2 linked regions of the Daphnia pulex genome follow. The protein of the gene in region 1 purifies or fractionates together with the protein of each later gene. This does not show direct contact. Links are inferred from orthologs where the notes say so. Each region holds a gene or a part of one and is shown in the gene's direction. Other genes may lie near its edges.

Region 1 (4,882 bases):
CTTGACGTGTTTTTTCTTTTTCTAAAGCAGAATCACTTTCATTTGGGAAAAGTTTCTCGGCAAAGCTCATTTCTTTTTCCAAATCAGCGGCCACTTCTTTAGACCGTTGCCTTAACTTCGCTAAATGTTGCTTGGTAAGGAACTCCCTGAAAAGCAAGGTATTTAATTTGTTGTTGTTTAACAATTATCACAGAATATAAATACCCGTTCTGTTGTCGTTTTGCTCTTTCTTCTTCTTTCTTTTGCATTTCTTCCTTGATAGCCTCCAATGCAGCAGCGTCTGCCATTAGTTTATCGTGCTCTCGTCGTTTTTCATTTGCCTCAAAATCCTTCGACCTAAGATGGAATATTATGTAATAATGTATTGAATTTTTAAGTTTAATCGATGATAAGGAAAAAGACATGAGAAATATTTTACAAACCTCAACAATTCAACTTGCTCATCTAGATCCTTTCTCCATTGCTGTTTCTTTTGTAATTCCATCTTCTGTTCTATTTCTTCTCTTTTCCTTTCTTCCTGAACCAAGCGTTCCATTTGGACAGCTTCTCTTTTCTTTTCTTCCAGTAATCTTAGCTTCTCTTCTTCTCTCTGCTGCAGTTGAATTGTCCACATTTCTTGTTGTTGCTGTTTCTTCAACTCAGATTCAAATGCCCTGAATGAAGCACTAGTAGATTTCCACTGTTCATGCTCCCTGTTCTCGACAAACTCATTCAGCTTTACACTTTTTGAATGCCTAAAATGCTGCACTTTATCCTTCATATTTTCCCACTTCTGGTTTTCTTCTTCTTGTTTAATTTTTTTCAATGCTTGTTCTTCATTTAATCTGTCTCCTTGATACAGTTTCTTAAGTTTTTTCCTACGAGTTTCCACATCAATTTCTGTTTCACGTATTTTTGATTGACGGTGGCTTAATTGGGCACTTCTTGGGGACGTCCAATCGTCAAACTTCTCGTTTTGTAGATTGCAATTTTGAAAATACCTGTCATTCGATCGAGCCGTTTCACTTCGACGAGTTTCTGCTTCACGTTTACGAATAATTTCGTTTTCCAATCGCATTTTCATAACAGGCAGCGCAGCGCTGTACCTGTCAGGGTTTGAATAACCACTTCTGGGCCTGAATGAATTGCTCATTTTTAGAAATCGTATAAAACCACTCCCGATTATTTCAAGGGGAAAAGTGATGAAAGTTGATTTGTTCTTGTTTATTCGAAAAAACTAACCTGATTTTGGTCACCATGGCAATGGGTGTTGCCAGATCTTGAAACTACCTGAAACATACATAAATTATAAATTTTAATATTTTTGCCGTAATTTTTGTATTGTATAAATTTTTTTATCAGATCGAATGTCATTGCGTTGCAGTATTTTCTATAACCATGTCCATAAAATGTAAAATATATTTCAAACCTGTTTTCGACAAAGTCGATAGAGTAATTCTGCAATGACGTCATTCATTTGCTCTCCGCTGTTTATCACCTAAAGAGCCCTTTAAAGTCAGTGCGTAGGAAGGGTTTCTATGAAACACACATCCCAAAACAGAGTGGGGTTGTTTGTTCTTGCGTGAAGAGAATGAATAAATAAATCTTTGGTTTCAACAACTGTTTCGTAAGTTTATGACCAAATCGGAAAAAATTTTTATTAGTTATCCACCATTTTAACCGCAGACATCCCTACATGAAACCTTTTTTAAAACAACAATTGAGATCTGGGCTCTTGGAGTATTAAATCAGTGAAAGTTTTGTGTGCCAAAGTTCAAGATTCAATATGCCTTTGCCTTCACCAAGATGTGTGGAAGATCAGCAAGATTCTTCTTCAGAATATGATTCCCTACCAGATATTTCTGTTGTGGATGTGTTTGATCTTGCCTCTGATGTTGGTAATGAGTTAGAAAAAATTATTAGCATTCATGGAAATGAACTAGTTGAAGGGCTGATGCAGAAAGTCATACGAGTATTGGAACTGCTTGATAAAACCTCTCGAAGGTAAGTCCTTAAATGAAGAAAACATTTTACAAAGAGCAATAATGTATTCTTATTTATTTTCTGTGCTTGAATCTTAGGCAGGAATCAGAAAGGCAACTTGTAGAAGAATTACAAAATAACATCAGTCTTCTTGAACGTGAGAAAAGGGAGAAAGCTGTTGATAGGTTACGATATGAAAAGGAAATTGAGCAGCTAGAAGAAAACTGGAAAAAAGAAACACAAGAACTATTAGGGAAAATTTCAAGAGTTCAAGAAGAAAACAAGAGATTGTCTTCTTCATTAAAAGAAAGTACAGAGAAAAATGTTTCTAAAAGTAAGGTTTTCTCCTTATGATTTCAATCAAGCAATGTATATTAATGTTTTATCTAATTATATTTTAGATCCCATACCAAAAGAGCCTGATTGGGATTTATTCGAAAAGCTCAGGGAAGCTAATGAGAAACAGAGAGATCTGTTGCGTTGCAGGGACAAAGAGTATCAAGATAAACTCTGTGAATCAGAATCTGTAAATTTACATTTAAAATTTTTGCAATTATTACTGGACGTTACAGTACCTATTTGGTATTTTTAGCTACACAATCAAGTGGATCGATTGACAGAAATCAACAAGGAATTGCGGAGGAAACAAACTCATATGTCTCAGCAAATGAGAACTTTGGTTGAAGAGAGAGCAGATTTGCAGGCTCTACATCAAGAACAGTCGAGGAATTTGGCTGCGCTGAATAAGCGACTAGGTGTCGCACAACGAGACAATGAAGATTTGATTCAGTGCCAGGTATTCCTACACTGATTTGATACATTTTTTAAATTTTTTAATTTTAATCACTCTTTGAAAATAGAACGACGCACCAGATCTCACTAATAAAATTGTCATCGATATTAATGATCCAAATCGCCCTCGGTTCACCATAGCCGAACTAAAAGAGATTCTCTGCGAACGAAATGAACTCAAAGCTCGTGTTAGTGATCTGGTCGATGAATTAGCGCTTTATCGACCAAGTAAAAACCATTCCAAGTACGTAATTAAAAGCTGGGCAATTAAAAAGAATTATTATGGCTAAGCTGTTTAATTTAATGATTTTCTGTTTCTCCTATTTTGAAGTATTGAAAGGATGTCGCCTTTGAATAGCGAGTCGACTGCTTCCTCCGGTGACCCTCTTGCGTCGGAAGCAGATGAGTCTACCTGCGACCTTCCCGTTCAAGGGCCTTTACCCTACGAACCGGACGACGCTCCGTGGAAACGTCCCAGCTCGAGAAAAAAGGATTCGAGCATCCGAAAATTGTAAGTTAATTGGGATTCCGAACCGCTTAAAATCTTATGCTTTTGGCTTGTCGCATTCCTTTTTCTTTTTCAGTTCTATTTTTGTTTTGTTTTTGTTTTTAGGTTTTCTACTTTGTCTTCTTTCCCTCGTTTATTAGCTCCACGCACTGTAGATGGTGCTAAATGACCTGACGTTTTCCAACTTGTGATATTGAACTTGTATATAGTTCGGTCTAACCGGACAGCCTTAACGGCAGTATTGATTTGTAATCTCTATTGCTTTCTTTTTTCAGGTTTAAAAAACTTGTTATGTTGCCAAGTGCGGGACTTTTGAATCCACAGTGACCAAAAGAGTACCGAAAGTTGGTAAATCGGTTTTTCCCAAAAATCCCACGCCGAACAAAGTTTCTCGTAGCAATTTTAGTATAAAAATCGACTGTCATTTTATCGCCATGATTTAAAATTTGCATCATTTCAATTAAATGTGGCCATAGATGCGATCTTTACCTTCACAGACAATGTGTCAGTGACGTTCTAGGTTTTAGTGAACTGTTGGATCATCAACGGATAACCAAATTGTGTATCATTGTTCTATTCATGAGATACTCCCCATTTACTACATCCCAAAGACTAAGACATTTATTAGACGTTTGATTTGCAATTAACGACGTGGAATACACAGATGGCGTATATGAATTTCAAGTCTTCATTTTTCTTTTACCTCTACAATTGTTATTATGTTAAAGCTAAATGTTTAAACTTGAGAAAATTACAGGAATGTACGGTACCCGAATAGAGGTTAAACGGTCATAGCCCACGTATAGTATAATTCTTTCAAACATATGCAGTGATTTAAACCTTCAAAAGAACAATGGTTTTTTTTTAACCCACAATAATATCTCTCCAAGGACAAACGGTGAAACCTTCACATTTTTCAGTCAGTAACGTTGCGAGTTTTTCATGCGAGTCGACCTCAAATAGCCTCAGGCCTATGAACACCCGACTAACGCTCCCGTGTCACTTCGTTCGTTGGGTTTATCGTGATTTTTGTTGGTTTTCGTTGTCGTGTGTTCCCTCATCAATCCCATTAACTAAAACGTATCAAAGAATTTATCAAACTATCGCATATCTATAAAAAAATGAGTGAGCTTATTGATAAAGGCCAGTGTGATAGTCGTGGCGAGGTAAACGAAATATTCGAAGCTACAGGAAGCTACAAATCTTCTTCACAACATACCACCGGGGACCAACCACCTGAAACGTAAGAGCACAGAGGCGTAAATAAAAGTCTCATCCATATGTTGTTGCATAATATGTTAACTTTATATTTATCGGTGGAAAAATCGCATCAAAATGTCTTACACCCGTGAGCATTTACCTTACTTCACGAAAAAAGGTTAAATTGTTAATTGCTGTCTGAAGCAGAGCGCAGGATCAGTCATGTCTCAGACATCCGCTTTTGGTGTCACAGCTTTCATGCGTGTAGTCTACGCAGTTTCGGATTCAATGTCAATGTGTAGTCTAGCACATGCTTATTTTCAACTGCGAATAGGAATGGTGACGCACTCACAGAATCGTATTTCTGTTTTTTTGTTTTTAACAAGTTGGAAAAATCTCCACTTAGTTTAGGATAACAAT
Region 2 (4,479 bases), on another chromosome or scaffold:
AGACGAGACAGCGCCAAGCATAAAGCCTTCGCAAGCCGTGAAAAGTCCCAGTAAAATAATATTTAAAGGCCAGCGTCGTCGGAAATCGTTGCAACACGCCAGAACGATTAAAAGGACGAAGGTCATGACAAACGCGATCCACCACATTTCAGGATGTTGACGGGAGTACATCTTGACGTTCGGTTCGTAGACAAAGAGAGATATGAATCCCACTGTGATGGCAAGCTGCACCATTAAAATCGCGTACACCTTCCTGCAATGACATTGGTTATTATTTTATGATGGGATCGTGTAGTAAAGTTTTTAATCCATACCTTACGAAAGCCATACGGATAGACTTTTCAGAGAAGGAAAACGCGGCATCGCCGAGTCCTCCGGATTCGTAATCTGCACCACCGTACATGTTGTTGGCTGGAGCTGCGGGTGGTTGTGGATTAAGCGGTGGATTTGAATTGTACGGAGGTGGTGGTCCTGGAATGTTGAACACATATACATTAATATCTGGCCTTTAGCCGTCGTACAAGTTTTGGGATTCAAAACTGAAAAGATGACTTAATCACCTTGATCTACCGGGACAGCCCAGCCATAGCTTGGTTGCCCAGGCTGAGAAGGGTAGGTTGGGTGGTTGGGTTGAGATGCCATGTTTTATTTTAATAGGAAAAGCCTTCCCTAAGCAAAATGCATGAAATTAATCAAGAACGAGAGAAGGCCTAGCAAAAATTTGAAGAAAAATATGACGAGATAACAATATCAAGACCACTTCCATTCAGATATTTTAATAATAATAAAGGTAACTTTTAAAATATCATTCAAAAGTTCTATAGGAAAGGTGATGTAAAAGAAATAAATATTGAGATATTGAATCATGAGTCCATGTTGTTGCACAACTAACATTACTAAGAAGCTTAAACTGCGATCCTTCTAGAAACCCCATCAACGACATGCAAAAAGCCGCTATTTAGGCATTAGCTTCAAATAGGTGAATTTCTTGACAGCTATGTGATCAAGTAGAAAAGCTAAATGGGTTAGTTTGAAACTTACTTCGAATCGCAAAATATCCCACCCACTCTTATCTCAAGAGGTGTTTTAGCGATACGTCATACAAAGTCCAAAACAAGCAAACGATTGGATTGCACAAACAAGCATACAAAATGGATTCAGTGATATCTAACTATTAAACCAGGCCTGACAAATTGTCTATTCGTCTCCATTCTTGTTCCCTCCTCCACTTGTAAATCCACTTTTCAAACGAAGATGAAGATGTCAAAGATTTTTAATTTTACAGAATTTTAAGTGATGGTTACTTAGCGTAGTGCAGTTTGATGTTAAATCATTAGAAGTTTTTTCTGGTAGTTGTCAAGTCTTCAATACGTAAGGTTTTGTATTATTTTTGCTATCGCGGATTTATCGACTTGGTCGCGCGAAATTTTATGGGGATTCAACTAGCGCCACCTATGTTACAAACAAATTAGGAAGTAAATTTTGAAAAGATTAAGCTAAATTATGATAAAGATTTCGTTGCATTAAATATAAAGTTGTTAAAGATAATGCCAATGAATTTACGGTTTCGCCTATTTTTAAGTTTATGAAAAACAAGTTAAGTTGGTGTTGGAGCCACTTGTTAATGATCTCAAACGACCAAGGCCTTCTCCGTTTAATCGTGAATGTGATCATTTTTGTTCTATTTCGTTTTCCGTCATCATATGGTTTGAGTCTGAGAGTGTAGTGAAGAGTTGCAGAACCCGTTCGTAAAAGAGAATTGAAAGATATGGCAAAGAAATCGTATGATTTGTTGTTTAAGTTATTGCTGATTGGGGATTCAGGTGTCGGAAAGACATGCATTCTGTTCAGGTTTTCTGATGATGCATTCAATACAACATTCATTTCCACTATTGGTGAGCTAATGGATCTTCATTTTCCCTAAATTTTTTTAAATTTCCCAGCCGCACCCCTGACAAGATTTTTTTCACATGATTGCCTTTTAAAACGTCACTATTTCGTCAATTGCAGGTATCGACTTCAAGATCAAAACTATTGAGCTGCAAGGGAAAAAAATCAAACTTCAGATATGGTAAAAATTATTAAATTTCTCAAAACTTTATCTTGGTTTAACATGTACATTGTACTTTTTAGGGACACTGCGGGTCAAGAGCGTTTCCACACCATCACAACATCTTATTATCGTGGAGCAATGGGTATCATGCTTGTATATGACATTACCAGTGTGAAAACATTCGACAACATTGCAAAATGGCTCAGAAATATAGATGAGGTAATAATAATAGTCATGAATAATAATTTAAGGAACCAGAAATAAAATTTGTTCCATTTTTTTCCATAGCATGCCAATGAAGATGTAGAGAAAATGATTCTTGGTAACAAATGTGATGTTGAAGACAAAAGGGCAGTTAGTAAAGAAAAAGGAGAGATGGTAATTTAATCAATTTCTTGTTCTTGGTTATCTTGAAAATGACATGTTATGATTGCAGATTGCCAGGGAACATGGAATAAGATTTATGGAAACATCAGCTAAGGCCAATATCAACATTGAGAGTGCTTTCTATGAACTGGCCCAAGCGATCTTGACCAAAACTTGCGGACGAGAGCAAGCCGAGCCCTTAGATCGCGTCCCACTGGAAGGAAGTCGCAATGATCGCCAATCTAATCGGTGCTGTTAGTAGTAGTAATAATAAACACACAAATTTCTTCAATTCTTAAGCGCCCAATTAAACATGGATGTGATCAACGTTGAAGTTCCGCGCAATTAGACCGGCATTTTTGTAACCAAAACAGGGAAAGAAGCAAAATGAGATGGTATTTAATGGATTGTTTATCCTCATTCTTCTTTGAAGGTTCAGTGGGTGATTTTAAATTGAGAGCTGTTGACAGAATGAGGAGACATGTCAATCCACACCCGTTTAACACGTCTCCTTTCACCTGACTAATTAAAATAAAAGAAACGAAAAGTTCAAATTTGGCCGGTGGCGTTATTGCTCGACTCAAAATCCAATTCCATTTTCCAATAATCTTGCCTTGTACCGAACTACTCTAAATGGTTTGTGAAAACTTCTTTCTTTTTGTCCGAGTTGCTTTTTTTTTTTCGTGGATGCCACGATAATCTTTTCTTTCTGCAATTGGTGACTTTACTGTTTCGAAGTAACTTTGATGCAAGAAAAGGCGTCCTTTTCCTTACTGTTGGCCCTGTAACCTGCTGCGCTAAACCACACACATTCTTCATCCGAAATTTCCATTTTTTTGCTGATTCTTATTGCTGAAGCTTGTAAATACAGAGCCGTTTTCATAATAACTAACAATATATACTCTTTTCTTTCTTTATAACCAATCAATAGGATAAAATTCGATGGTATGTCGATATCGATGCGGATGAATCATCAACTTGTGTTACCCTCCAGTAGACTTGAGTTTCTTCAGTTAGTGCAATAGTCTGACCAGAAGCATTGCGATAAAGCGATTACTTCATGGGTTTTTTCCTTCGAACAAGAAAACGTTTTCTTCGCAGCGGGTTTTCGGTGTGGGTGTTGCTTCATCTTTTTTTGTTCAACCAACGGCATCAGAGAGATAAGCATTGACTTCCGCTATAATTTTATCTTCAAGGTTTAGGGTTTAATATTGGCAAAACAACTGGCCTGAGCTAAAAAAAAATTAAATATGATTGTAGTCACTCAGATAGGGACCACTGACGAATAGATGCGTAGATTTCTTATCGTTGGAAATGAGATACCAGCAGAGTCCCAGCAGATCCAAAAAGGTCACTCAGCGCTTTTACAGTTATTGGGACATGTCAATACAGTTACAGTATACGTCGTACGACTCGTTTTCCTCTACTTTTTCTAGCTGGACACAAGTTTTACTAAAATGTATGCCATGAGTAGTTTTCTTAAGTTATTAAAACCCTTTCAACTTCCTCTTTCTTTCTTTGTAAACCTTCATCTTCCTGTAACATTATTCGAGGCAATGATCTTTGTACATTTTAAGGGTGTGTCTTGTCAAAACAAGACACTTCCTTTTGTGAAATAAATAACTCGGAGTGGCTGACTAACCATTGTCGTCTTGCGCTCAATGTTGTTTCGCAATCGCAATTGCCAATTGGCGAACGAGAATATCGAAACAAATTGATTTTTGAAATCTGACGTCATTGCTTCAGAAGCAGACGATGTGTGTGAATTTACACCGTAAACAGAAAATGCAAATTCATCAGTCTTGAATTGGAATTCCGCCCCTTCAAAAGCAAAAACCGGTTCGTTCTTCCTTCTTTGTATTTGTGTAATTTTGAACTTGGAAACTAAATATTCTGAGGCGCTAATTGGCTGTTAACGTGTTTGTTCATCTACTACAGATAACAATTTGGAGAGTCTGAAAAGATCAATTTTTTTGACAGCTCTGATAGATAAAGGTAAACCTTTGAACTCATAGGCTGTACTTCCTTAACTCAACAAAAGATAATCAAACAAAAGATTT

The links.
Region 2: the proteins of RILP-like protein homolog (region 1) and ras-related protein Rab-10-like purify together in Homo sapiens (co-immunoprecipitation; 3 studies listed by BioGRID and IntAct, with this or other methods). This does not show direct contact. The link is inferred for Daphnia pulex from reciprocal best matches to the Homo sapiens genes RILPL1 and RAB10.

The regions. Positions count from the first base shown.
Region 1 is NC_060023.1:5,831,540-5,836,421, reverse strand, and holds RILP-like protein homolog, read left to right. Parts: upstream 1-1,465; 5' UTR 1,466-1,606; exon of another isoform or gene 1,607-1,665; 5' UTR 1,666-1,765; coding exon 1,766-1,983; intron 1,984-2,060; coding exon 2,061-2,296; intron 2,297-2,363; coding exon 2,364-2,488; intron 2,489-2,554; coding exon 2,555-2,758; intron 2,759-2,822; coding exon 2,823-2,998; intron 2,999-3,085; coding exon 3,086-3,265; intron 3,266-3,367; coding exon 3,368-3,431; 3' UTR 3,432-3,537; coding exon of another isoform or gene 3,538-3,589; 3' UTR 3,590-3,940; downstream 3,941-4,882. Other genes in the region: trichoplein keratin filament-binding protein-like, read right to left, coding at 1-146, 205-336, 423-1,132; sodium- and chloride-dependent GABA transporter ine-like, read left to right, coding at 4,384-4,505. UniProt on the Homo sapiens protein: Plays a role in the regulation of cell shape and polarity. Plays a role in cellular protein transport, including protein transport away from primary cilia.
Region 2 is NC_060018.1:11,839,737-11,844,215, forward strand, and holds ras-related protein Rab-10-like, read left to right. Parts: upstream 1-1,667; 5' UTR 1,668-1,768; coding exon 1,769-1,895; intron 1,896-2,010; coding exon 2,011-2,071; intron 2,072-2,133; coding exon 2,134-2,272; intron 2,273-2,341; coding exon 2,342-2,431; intron 2,432-2,489; coding exon 2,490-2,678; 3' UTR 2,679-3,307; downstream 3,308-4,479. Other genes in the region: protein lifeguard 1-like, read right to left, coding at 1-253, 315-471, 561-642. UniProt on the Homo sapiens protein: The small GTPases Rab are key regulators of intracellular membrane trafficking, from the formation of transport vesicles to their fusion with membranes.